Macaca mulatta: one gene and its partners. Each later gene encodes a partner of the first gene's protein in a complex. Links are inferred from orthologs where the notes say so. Each region holds a gene or a part of one and is shown on either strand. Other genes may lie near its edges.

Evidence for each region.
Region 2: CDK2AP1 (region 1) and MTA2 share a complex: the UniProt entries of both Homo sapiens proteins name them as parts of the nucleosome remodeling and deacetylase (NuRD) repressor complex. The link is inferred for Macaca mulatta from reciprocal best matches to the Homo sapiens genes CDK2AP1 and MTA2.
Region 3: CDK2AP1 (region 1) and MTA3 share a complex: the UniProt entries of both Homo sapiens proteins name them as parts of the nucleosome remodeling and deacetylase (NuRD) repressor complex. The link is inferred for Macaca mulatta from reciprocal best matches to the Homo sapiens genes CDK2AP1 and MTA3.

What each region holds. Positions count from the first base shown.
Region 1 is NC_133416.1:130,669,493-130,672,689, forward strand, and holds part of CDK2AP1 (cyclin-dependent kinase 2-associated protein 1), read right to left. Parts: intron 2,243-3,197; coding exon 2,116-2,242; intron 1-2,115. UniProt on the Homo sapiens protein: Inhibitor of cyclin-dependent kinase CDK2. Also acts as a component of the histone deacetylase NuRD complex which participates in the remodeling of chromatin.
Region 2 is NC_133419.1:11,471,839-11,475,133, forward strand, and holds the end of MTA2 (metastasis-associated protein MTA2), read left to right. Parts: coding exon 1-119; intron 120-379; coding exon 380-608; intron 609-801; coding exon 802-891; intron 892-1,243; coding exon 1,244-1,362; intron 1,363-1,470; coding exon 1,471-1,619; intron 1,620-1,843; coding exon 1,844-2,009; 3' UTR 2,010-2,652; downstream 2,653-3,295. UniProt on the Homo sapiens protein: May function as a transcriptional coregulator. Acts as a component of the histone deacetylase NuRD complex which participates in the remodeling of chromatin.
Region 3 is NC_133418.1:82,262,149-82,266,336, reverse strand, and holds the start of MTA3 (metastasis-associated protein MTA3), read left to right. Parts: upstream 1-1,309; 5' UTR 1,310-1,319; coding exon 1,320-1,347; intron 1,348-1,671; exon of another isoform or gene 1,672-2,011; intron 2,012-3,020; coding exon 3,021-3,088; intron 3,089-4,188. UniProt on the Homo sapiens protein: Acts as a component of the histone deacetylase NuRD complex which participates in the remodeling of chromatin.

The DNA of each region.
Region 1 (3,197 bases):
TGGTGAGCACCTATAATCCCAGCTACTCAGGAGGCTGAGGCAGGAGAATTGCTTGAACCCAGGAGGCAGGGGTTGCAGTGAGCCGAGATCGCACGACTGCATTCCAGCCTGGGTGACAGAGCAAGACTCCGTCTCAAAAAAAAAAAAAAGAAAAACACACTATTCTTGGCTCTTGGCTCGTGGGCTGCAGTTGCCAACCAACCTACAACGCTCCTATGCTCCTAACTCCCTGACCCCTCTATGACATGTTTTCACCCTGCTGTGACATGAGCTTGGTCAGCTTGGGCTTGGCTGTTGGCCAAGGGGAGGCACTGGGTCTTCCTTGTTACTGCAAGACTGGCAGCTAGTACGCATTTGCTGACTTGAAGCAGTGCCTTTTATGGGCAACTGCAAATCACCTGTTGGACTTTGGGACCCAGCATCTTCCCAGGAATTTCCATTCGGGTAACCAGCACCCCTGCTACCAGAGAGCGGCCCTGGGACCACCCAACACTCTGGGCGAGACCAGGGTTGGGTTCTGCATCCCTTCCCCAGGCCCTCTTCAATCACATCCTCTAACCCTGCTGGTCCCAACCTAGCTTTGAGATCCGTCAACCTCTTCACAAAGGCTGCATGAACTCCAGAGCAACCCCGCTCCTGGCAGCAGCCTGTCCTCAACTGGCCCTCGTGTCACTGGGGTCATGACTTCAACTACAGCCCCCATATTTCCTACAGATTTACAACCAAAGAATGTTCCTCTCCCAGGCCAGGCATGGTGGCTCACGCCTGTAATTCCAGCACTTTGGGAGGCCGAGGTGGATAGATCATAAGGTCAAGAAATTGAGACCATCCTGGCCAACCAACATGGTAAAACCTGGTCTCTACTAAAAATACAAAAACTAGCTGGGCATAGTGGCGCACGTCTGTACTCCCAGCTACTTGGGAGGCTGAGGCGGGAGAATCGCTTGAACCCGGGAGGCGGAGGCTGCAGTGAGCCGAGATTGCGCCACTGCACTCCAGCCTGGGTGACACAGCAAGACTCCATCTCAAAAAAAAAAAAAATGTTCCCCTCCCAGGTCGCTTCTCCAGCCTTTTTAAGAACCCCAAGTCCCGGGCCAGGCACAGTGGCTCACGCCTGTAATGCCAGCACTTTGAGTGGCCAAGGCAGGCAGATCACCTGAGGTTGGGAGTGCAAGACCAGCCAGACAACATGGAGAAACCCCATCTCTACTGAAAATACAAAAAATTAGCTGGGCCTGGTGGCACATGCCTGTAATCCCAGCTACTTAGTAGGCTGAGGCAAGAGAATCGCTTGAACCCGGGTGGAGGTTGCGGTGAGCCAAGATTGCACCATTGCATTGCAGCCTGGGCAACAAGAGTAAAACTCCGTCTCCCAAAAAAAAAAAAAAAAAGCACCAGTCTCCCCTCATCTTGAATGAGTTCATGGGCTATGGCTCCGCTGCACTATCGCCTTCTAAAATAGAAATCCTGCTCTCCCTCCATTCCCTTTTTATTTCAGGAGATAGCAATCTATTTAACCTCCTTTCAAAATCAGCCGGGCAGTCACACCTTAACATGAGTTCCCTTGTGCTCTGTCATCTCCTGCCTGCCCTCCTTCTCCAGTCATTAAAGAACAAAGTGCTCTCAGCCTCCCGCCCCAGACCCACACACTTCCTTGGGTCTCGCTCCAAAGAGGTGACAGCAGAGGGCAGTGCAGACACCAAAGAACCCTGAGCCTGGCTTCCCTAGGACCAGTGTCGGCCAACAGAAGCAGACCAGGCAGGAGGCAGGAGGGAGAGTGGTGGCGGCCAGGGCGGGGGGGGGGGGGTGGGGGGTGGTTTGAACACACCCTTGAAAGCCAGCAGACCCCCTGGCAGCACACAGGGTAAGAAGAGCTCCCTGGCTGGGCTGCCCTTCCCGGAAGACCCCTCTGAAGGCATCCGGCCCCCTAGGCCCCTCGCCACCAGACCCACCGCCTGCCTGAGGCCTCCATAGCAGACAGCAACTCTGTGACAAGACAGGAGCTCCGATGAAGGAGCCCCATCCCCAGCCCACCCTCCCATGTTTTCCCCAAAAGTCTTTCCAGAGTTAAAGGCCTAGCCTGTGGTCACGGCAGGGCAGCGGGGCCGGGCTCACCGCGCTTCAGTCTCTCCATGGCACTCTTGCTCCCCGCGTACGTGGGTCTGATCTCCTTCCCCAGCTCTTCAATGATGGCCAGCAGCTCCGCGTATTTGCTTTGGGGCACTTGGCTGTTCCCAGTTCCCTAGAATCAGAAAGAAATTGGTTCAGCAAAATTAGCTGGGCATGTTGGTGGGCACCTGTAGTCCCAGTTACTCAGGAGGCTGAGGCAGGAGAACTGCTTGGACCGGACCCATGAGGCAGAGGTTGTAGTGAGCCAAGATCGCTCCACTGCACTCCAGCCTGGGCGACAGAGCAAGACTCCATCTCAACATCTCAAAAAAAAAAAAAAAAGGGGTTCAGCAGCCTGACCCCAAGGCCACAGGCAGGTGGGTGGAGAGGCCCCTGGGCCGGTCAGAGGAGGGAACGCAGTCCAGCCTTAGACTCCTGGGGTAGCCACCTCAGCTGGGCCAAGGCACGTCCCATTCTAGGGGACAACTACAGGTTAGGGGGATGGTCCTCACCCTTCTATCCTCACACACTCAGGAAGACCACCCAGTCGCCTCCAGGAAGCAAGTGTATCATCTCCAATGAACAAAACAGGGGAACCAGCTCATCTTGGCACAAAAGAGTCCAAACAGCATTTCCCAGGATGCAGATGAGTAGGAGGGCACATCGCAGGTGCCGAGCCTCCAAGCCAGTGGGGAGACAGAGGCCGCACCTGGGCCACCAGGACCACAGCCATCGGCCATGGCCCCGCCAGAGCCTGGAATGCATTCCCTTCTCTCATCCTCCCACCCACAGGGCCCACCCCCCAGAAACCCTTTCCTCCCACCACCACTGGGAGCCCCACAGCAAGCACCCGGATCAGCGAGGCTGGGCTCCCGGCAAGCCCGCAAGCCCAGACCACCTCCCCTTGGCTGCCTCCTCCCAGAGCTGCACCAGCTCCCTGGGCAAGGTCCTCGCCTCCTCCCTCCTCCACCGCCGCCTCTGTCCCCTGGCCTTGCGCTCTGTCCTCCTGTCCTCATCTTGGTCCAGCTGCTCTGCCTCCCCACGGCACTGCCTCCAGGCCTCACGGGCCTCCTGCCTGTCTCGGCGCC
Region 2 (3,295 bases), on another chromosome or scaffold:
ATGCCTGGGGCCCACCTAACATGCAGTGCCGCCTCTGTGCTTCCTGTTGGATCTACTGGAAGAAATATGGGGGACTGAAGACCCCAACTCAGCTTGAGGGAGCCACTCGGGGTACCACGGTAAGGATCAGTGGGGGTAAAAGCAGGGGAGAGCAGTAAGCATATTGATGTGAGCTTAGGTGAGGGCCAGAATATCCAACTCTTTATATGGTGATGGTTTGATGGGCAGGGGGTGCTTGATGCTGGTTGGGGAGACATATAGGCCAAGAGGTCAGTAAAGAGATTAGGCAGGAATAAATTGTCTTCTGCAGGGAATGGAAGAAAGAAGGGAGCCTCGATGCTGATTTCTGCTCTCTCTCTTTCCTATGCTCTTCTTCTAGGAGCCACACTCGAGGGGTCATTTGTCCAGACCTGAAGCTCAAAGTCTCTCCCCTTATACAACCAGCGCCAACCGGGCCAAGCTACTGGCTAAGAACAGGCAAACTTTCCTGCTTCAGACCACGAAACTGACCCGTCTTGCCAGACGCATGTGCAGGGACCTATTACAGCCGAGGAGGGCTGCCCGACGGCCGTATGCTCCTATCAATGCCAATGCCATCAAAGCAGAGTGTAAGGACAGGGAGTGATGGGGCTGGTGGTGGGTTTAGGGTTGCTCTGCCCAGAGACGATTGTTTCTCTGGATGTTTAATAACAGGAGGCATAGTAGGCCACAGGTAATTTTTTAAAGATTAGACTTGGCTTCTGGCCTCAGAGGAGACCTGAATGGTGAAGCCCTTCAGAAGCTTTCATCTTTGTTCTGCAGGCTCCATTCGACTTCCTAAGGCCGCCAAGACTCCATTGAAGATTCACCCTCTGGTGCGGCTGCCCCTGGCAACTATCGTCAAAGATCTGGGTATGGGATGAGGACCAGTGAGGGTGGCATCAGGCTCCCAGTCCGTTCCCTGTCCAACATCTTCTCTCCCCTTGTTTTCTTCTTCCCCATAGTGTCCTCAGAGATTTAGTCTAACAAACTGTACTTTTGTTGTTTAATAATTTTTTTTGTAAACTATTCAGTATTACTGTACTGATTTGATAAGGTTATACTGATATTTGAAATACTAGTGATAGCTTGCCAGAACCTTACCCCATTGCTACTTTTGGGGATGCCCAGGTAAACTGCTGGTCCAGGGGAAGAGATGGAAGTAACAAAGGGGAACTGTGTAGGGAAGAAAAGGTGTGAAAGTTTTCTATTACTTTTTTTCCAGTGGCCCAGGCACCCCTGAAACCAAAAACACCTCGGGGTACCAAGACACCGATCAACAGAAACCAGCTGTCCCAGAACCGGGGACTGGGGGGCATTATGGTGAAACGGGCCTATGAGACTGTGAGTTGACAGAAAGGGGTGGGCCAAGCTGAGTTGGGTGGGCTTTTGTTTCTCATAGGAGTCTGAGAGGGTCCCTTCCCTCATTGTGCCATCCTGCCTCTTTTCCAGATGGCAGGGGCAGGGGTTCCTTTCTCTGCCAATGGAAGGCCTCTGGCTTCAGGGATTCGTTCAAGCTCACAGCCAGCCGCCAAGCGTCAGAAACTAAACCCTGCTGATGCCCCCAATCCTGTGGTGTTTGTGGCCACAAAGGATACCAGGTAGGGAGTCTACCATGGGAGGGGCTGAGAGGGACAGTCCAGGCTGTGAGTGTGGGGAGTAGGAGTTTCAGAGCAAGAGCTCTAGGAAGGTTGTGGATGCAGGGTGGGGATGCCAGAAAAGAATGGGCCAGAAGGCAGAATTGCAGTGTGGAATGTGGGGCTTCACCTGGAGGGCTTAGTGTTCTCTAAGCCTTTTCTGTTTCTCACTTGCTCTTTCTGGCCAGGGCCCTGCGGAAGGCTCTGACCCATCTGGAAATGCGGCGAGCTGCTCGCCGACCCAACTTGCCCCTGAAGGTGAAGCCAACGCTGATGGCAGTGCGGCCCCCTGTCCCTCTACCTGCACCCTCACATCCTGCCAGCACTAATGAGCCTATTGTCCTGGAGGATTGAGCACCTGTGGGGGAGGGAGGTGGGCTGAGAGGTAGAGGGTGGATGCCCAGGGCACCCAAACCTCCCTTCCCTTTCGTGTCAAAGGGAGTGAGGAGTAAGGAAGAGAGCAAGTGAGTGTGCGTCCCTGGAGGGGTTGGGCGCCCTCTGGTGTTACAACCTCGAGACTTGTCTCATGCCTCCATGCTTGCTGATGGAGGACAGACTGCAGGAACTTGGCCCATGTGGGAACCTAGCCTGTTTTGGGGGGTAGGACCCACAGATGTCTTGGACAGTTTTGGGGGGAGGGTTTTTTAATTTTTTAAAAATTTTGCCTCCCTTTGTGAAAGGGGATGGGGAGGGGAAGAGTAAACAGATAACAGGTGGTGGTACCTGGTTGGGGGAGGGGGGCGTGCACTGCCATGTCTTTTTTTTTTTTTTCCTAATTGGGGGTTTCTCTTTCTGTCCGGTGTCCGGACTATCCTAATTGGAGTTTGAGGCCCCTAAGCTGGCATCAACCCCAGGCCATGCTCGCTCTTTCCTTCCCTCCCCTCCCCCTCCGCCTTTTGTACGCCAGTTCTCAGAAATAAAGATCTTTTGTCCGTTTTTTTAACCTCGGATTCTGTAATTGGTTCTTATAGTAACAAATAAAAAGCTGTTTTCTTCAGCTTCTCCTGGCTCAGCTGTTCTTTGCCATGGGTGTGTGTTGTGTGTGTGTTGGGGGTGTCTTTGACAGGGAAAATAAAGGACAAAGGACAACAAAGGAGGTACAGATGGTTCTTGCCTTGGGAACAGCTTTATGAGATATGCAGCCTGGACCGAGGCGGCTTGCTCCAGCTAGCCTTCTTGTGGGATCCAAACTGCTCCCCAGCTCCCAGTGGTGATGGAGCCCAAGCACCATCTTGGCCCAGATTCCTTCACAGGAGTTGAGATGAGCTTTCTGGATGACTGGTGGCCTCCATAGGAAAGGAGAATGGGGGTGTTTCTTCCTCTGTTTCCCACCTCTTACTCCCCTCTCCCTTTCACTTAAGGAATTCTGGAAGTTGCTGGCAGCCAGGGTAACATGTATACCACCTTGGTGGTGGTGATGGGGTTATAGGAGGATCTCCTCACCTAGCTGTGTGGTGTATTTGGCAGATGAGAATTCTACCATTGAACCACTCGAGCACCTCTGGGTGTATGTGTACAGCCTGCTGCTTCAGGATCCTCAAGGCCAGTCTCAGCAACTGCCTTGATACCCTGATCCACTGTAGCACCGTTTCCTGCCTGAAAGGTTTGGGACACTGAGATTAGATGCCTGAGCAGGGCCC
Region 3 (4,188 bases), on another chromosome or scaffold:
TGGGGGCACCTCTTAGCCCCGCACAGATGTCAAACCCAGAGTCGACAGCACACAGCTGTGTATCACCAGACATTCCAAACAAGCCACCACACCAAGAAATCCTCTTCGTGTTTATTATGCACCAATGTCTGGGAGTACTTTGGAATGGACTGGCTTCTCTAAAGAAAGTTATTTGTGTTCGTTTGGGGGATAGCCAGCTAAGATTCAACGTTGTTGGTTTTTTTTTGTTTTGTTTCTGTGAGAGTAGGAAGGCCGTGAAAACAGAGGTTGTTTAGAGAATTGGCTTGGGACAATAATCATTTAGAAGCTTTAGGCACATAACCAGCTAAGTGTCCATCCATATCAAGCTGATTGAACAGAATCTCCTCTTTTTGGGGGTGGTGATTGTGAACTGTAGGGCCCTGTTCCCCCATGGACAAAGGAAGCCCCCCACTCCTAAAGGTCCCAGCAGAACAGGCCCTGCATATATAGGGCCTGTCTAGAGCCAGGGCCTCCATCTGGGTGTTGGAGAGTTGGTTCTGCTCAGCCCAGTTTTGGGGTGAACGATGATGCAGTTAGGGTAGCCTAGGAAGGGAGTTTTTCAACCTCTGTCCCCAGCCGGGTCTCTGGCGAGGCGGGAAGCACCCAGGGTCTTCCTGGCCCTAGAGCCTGCAGGCTCCAGGCCGGCCCCTTGGATCTCACCACGAGGAAGGCACCCTGCTGCCTGTACTTATTTGCGTCCAAGAGTTTGCATTGAGATTGGCGCTCGCCTACCAGGTCAGCCCCAGGGGGGGTCCCCAGGGACAGAGGTAGGAAAGGAGGACCTGTCTCGGGGTGGACAGGTGACGGGGTACACTGGGTGGGGCAAGAGGTGCTGGGGAGAGGCTGAGCCCCAGCCCCCACTCTAATTCTCTAACTGCCCCTGGTCCGCATTTGAGCGCAGGCCTCTGCCTCGGCCAGGACCCTGGCTCCAGGGCCCTCCACTTCCAGCGAGGCCCCCCACCCTCCCTCCCACTCTCCTTCCCCTCCCCCTCCCCCTCCCCCTCCCCCTCCCCCCCAATTCCCGCTGGTCCCGCAGCGCTCGGGCCTCCCCGGGCCTCCCCCGGCCCGGCCCACTAGGCTTCGCTAGCCTGGCGCTGGGGGCGGGCACCAGCCCCCACCCCTCGGCGTCCCCTCCCCTTCACTTCCCCCTCCCCCTGTCCCCTCCCTTCCCTCCCTTCCCCCCCGTGGCGAGGCAGCAGCGGAGGCGGCGGCGGCAGCGGCGGTCGAGGCTGAGGCTGAGGAGGTGGCGGCGGCGGCGGGCGGGGCTCGGCTCGGGCTCCGCGGGCGGGCGGGCGGACATGGCGGCCAACATGTACCGGGTCGGAGGTAGGCAGGCTCAGCCCGACCCGGCCCGTGTGGGAGCGGGCTCCGGGACCGGGGGGCCGGGGCGAGCGCACGCCAACTGCCGGGAGCCACTGGCGCCGGGGCTGAGGTCGCAGGGGGCGGGGGCGCCGGGGCCCGCAGAGGGGCCAGGACTCCCCACCCCCACCCCACCCCTCCCCTCCCCCCACGGGGGCTCGCGAGGGGCCGGGGCCACCTTCACCCTCGCACCCCGCCAGGTGTTTAGGGCCAGGCCTCTACTTGGGGGTACGAATTACCAGACACCTCCCTCCACGAAACCCTCATGGTGGTGGGGCCCGTCGAGCCCCCTGAGAAGGTGGCCTTCTCGCGTGGCTTCTAGGCGCTGGAGAGGATGAGGGGACATCCCCTCCCCTGCTTCTTCCCCACTCAGTGGGAGCCTGGGGTGGGGGTGGGGGCGGTGGGGGCCCAGCCAGGGGCCCAGCTGGACAGGCCTGTTTGCGGGCCTGCACCTTGCCGGGGCCCTGCACCTCGCCTTCCTCGGCCCCCCTCCTTTCGTTTCTGGTCCAGCCCCCCACGAATGGGGCTTCGTGGGACCTGGGAACCTCAGCCGGAGGTGGGGAGTTGAGCTCTGCCTGGACGTTTGCTCTGCTGCCTGCCTCCTTCCCAGTCTGCGGAAGAGAGAAATAAGGTCAAACAAACTTTCTCCCTACTCACGACGCCCTCCTCCCTCTTTCCTGGTAAAATAATAATTCAGATAAGTGGCGTGTTTGTATGAGAGACTGGCTCTTCCTTCTCCGCTCATTAGCTGAGCTTCTGATGGATGGTGGTGGGAATGGCCTGGCTAAATGAGGCCACTTTGCAGAAGACAGCGGCGAAAGAGCCACTAAGATAGACAATAACAATGCAGCTGCCTTTGAGATAAACACACAGTGGGAAGTTTCCAGCGAGCCTATCAGATGAGAGGAAAAGCCACACTTGAAAAATGTTATCTTTTTAGTTGAAAGCCTGCAGCAATTTCTTAATCACAAGACATTAAATGGATCTGGATTAAATATGGTAAAAGGGTAAAAAAGATGGTGATATCACCCCCAGGGCACTTTGCCTCTTATAATTGATCCCCCTGACCCGCTTTTTCCCTCATCTTCCCAGGTAGAGCTGTGGAAAAGTTTGTTAGTGTTCTTCCTCTTACCTGTTCTGCTCATCTGATTTTTTTTTTTTTTTTTTTTTTTTTTAAGTAGCGATTGAAATGTAGGTTGGACTGTGAAGCCTTTCTCCATGCTCTGAATGTGTCTTAGGTCAATAGTTTTATGTGAGAAGCAGCCTCCAGGGCAAATTGTATTGGAGGAAAAAGATGTGGAAGTAGTTATAGTACAGAGGACACATGTTTAGTGTGCCCCGACTACCCAGTGATAAGAGGTGTCTTTTTTGTTTATTATTAAAGAAATGACATATTGGGACAGAAGTCTAGGAGAAACTGATGAAACATTAATTGAAATGAAAATGCCAAGAAAATAAAGGTCCGTGAATAGTAGGCACATGAGAGAATATATTAAGGCTGCATTATTATGTTTGCTTTTACCAGTGAATGAATTATGAGCTTAATTTCAAACGTGAATTGCCTAACATAAAAAGTCTTGGATTGACAAATCTGAACTTTCTGTTGAAAATATTAAGTTCTGTACTTCCTTTAATTACAGATTATGTCTACTTTGAGAATTCCTCCAGCAACCCATACCTAATAAGAAGGATAGAAGAACTCAACAAGGTATATACACTGAGTGTTCTTAATTTTAATTTAAAAAATATTTATTTTCCCTTAACGGGTAATTAGGTAAAGGGTGGCCTGGTGCGGAGGCTCATGCCTGCAATCCCAGTAAATTGGGAGGCCTGGTGGGTGGTTTGAGACCAGCCTGTGCAACATAGTGAGACCCCATCTCTATTTTTTTTTTTTTTTTTTTTTTTTTTTTTTGAGACGGAGTCTCGCTCTGTCACCCAGGCTGGAGTGCAGTGGCCGGATCTCAGCTCACTGCAAGCTCCGCTTCCCGGGTTCACGCCATTATCCGGCCTCAGCCTCCCGAGTAGCTGGGACTACAGGCGCCCGCCACCTCGCCCGGCTAGTTTTTTGTTTTGTATTTCTTAATAGAGACGGGGTTTCACCGTGTTAGCCAGGATGGTCTCGATCTCCTGACCTCGTGATCCGCCCGTCTCGGCCTCCCAAAGTGCTGGGATTACAGGCTTGAGCCACCGCGCCCGGCCTATTTTTTTTTTTTAATTAATATAAAAAATAAAAATAGGGCTGGGCACGGTGGCTCATGCCTGTAATCTCAGCACTTTGGGAGGCCGAGGTGGTAGGATCACCGGAGGTCAGGAGTTCGAGAACAGCCTGACCAACATGGAGAAACCCCGTCTCTGCTAAAAATACAAAAAAATTAGCCGGGCATGGTGGCACATGCCTATAATCCCAGCCACTTGGGAGGCTGAGGCAGGAGAATCGCTTGAACCCAGGAGGCGGAGGTTGTGGTAAGCCAAGATCGTACCATTGCACTCGAGCCTGGGCAACGAGTGAAATTCCATCTCAAAAAAAAGAAATAATAATAATAAATAAAAATGAATGGGGTAAAGGGCATAAGAGATGGTTTTACTTTCAGTCCCAGACTCTTTGAAAGTTGAGATTTTAGGCCGGGCATGGTGGCTAATGCCTGTAATCCCAGCAATTTGGGAGGCCAAGGCAGGTGGATCACTTGAGGTCAGGAGTTCAAGACCAGCCTGGCCAACATGGTGAAACCCCGTTTCTACCAAAAAAGTACAAAAAAATTAGCTAGGCATGGTAGCATGCACCTGTAATCCCAGCTACTCAGGAGGCTG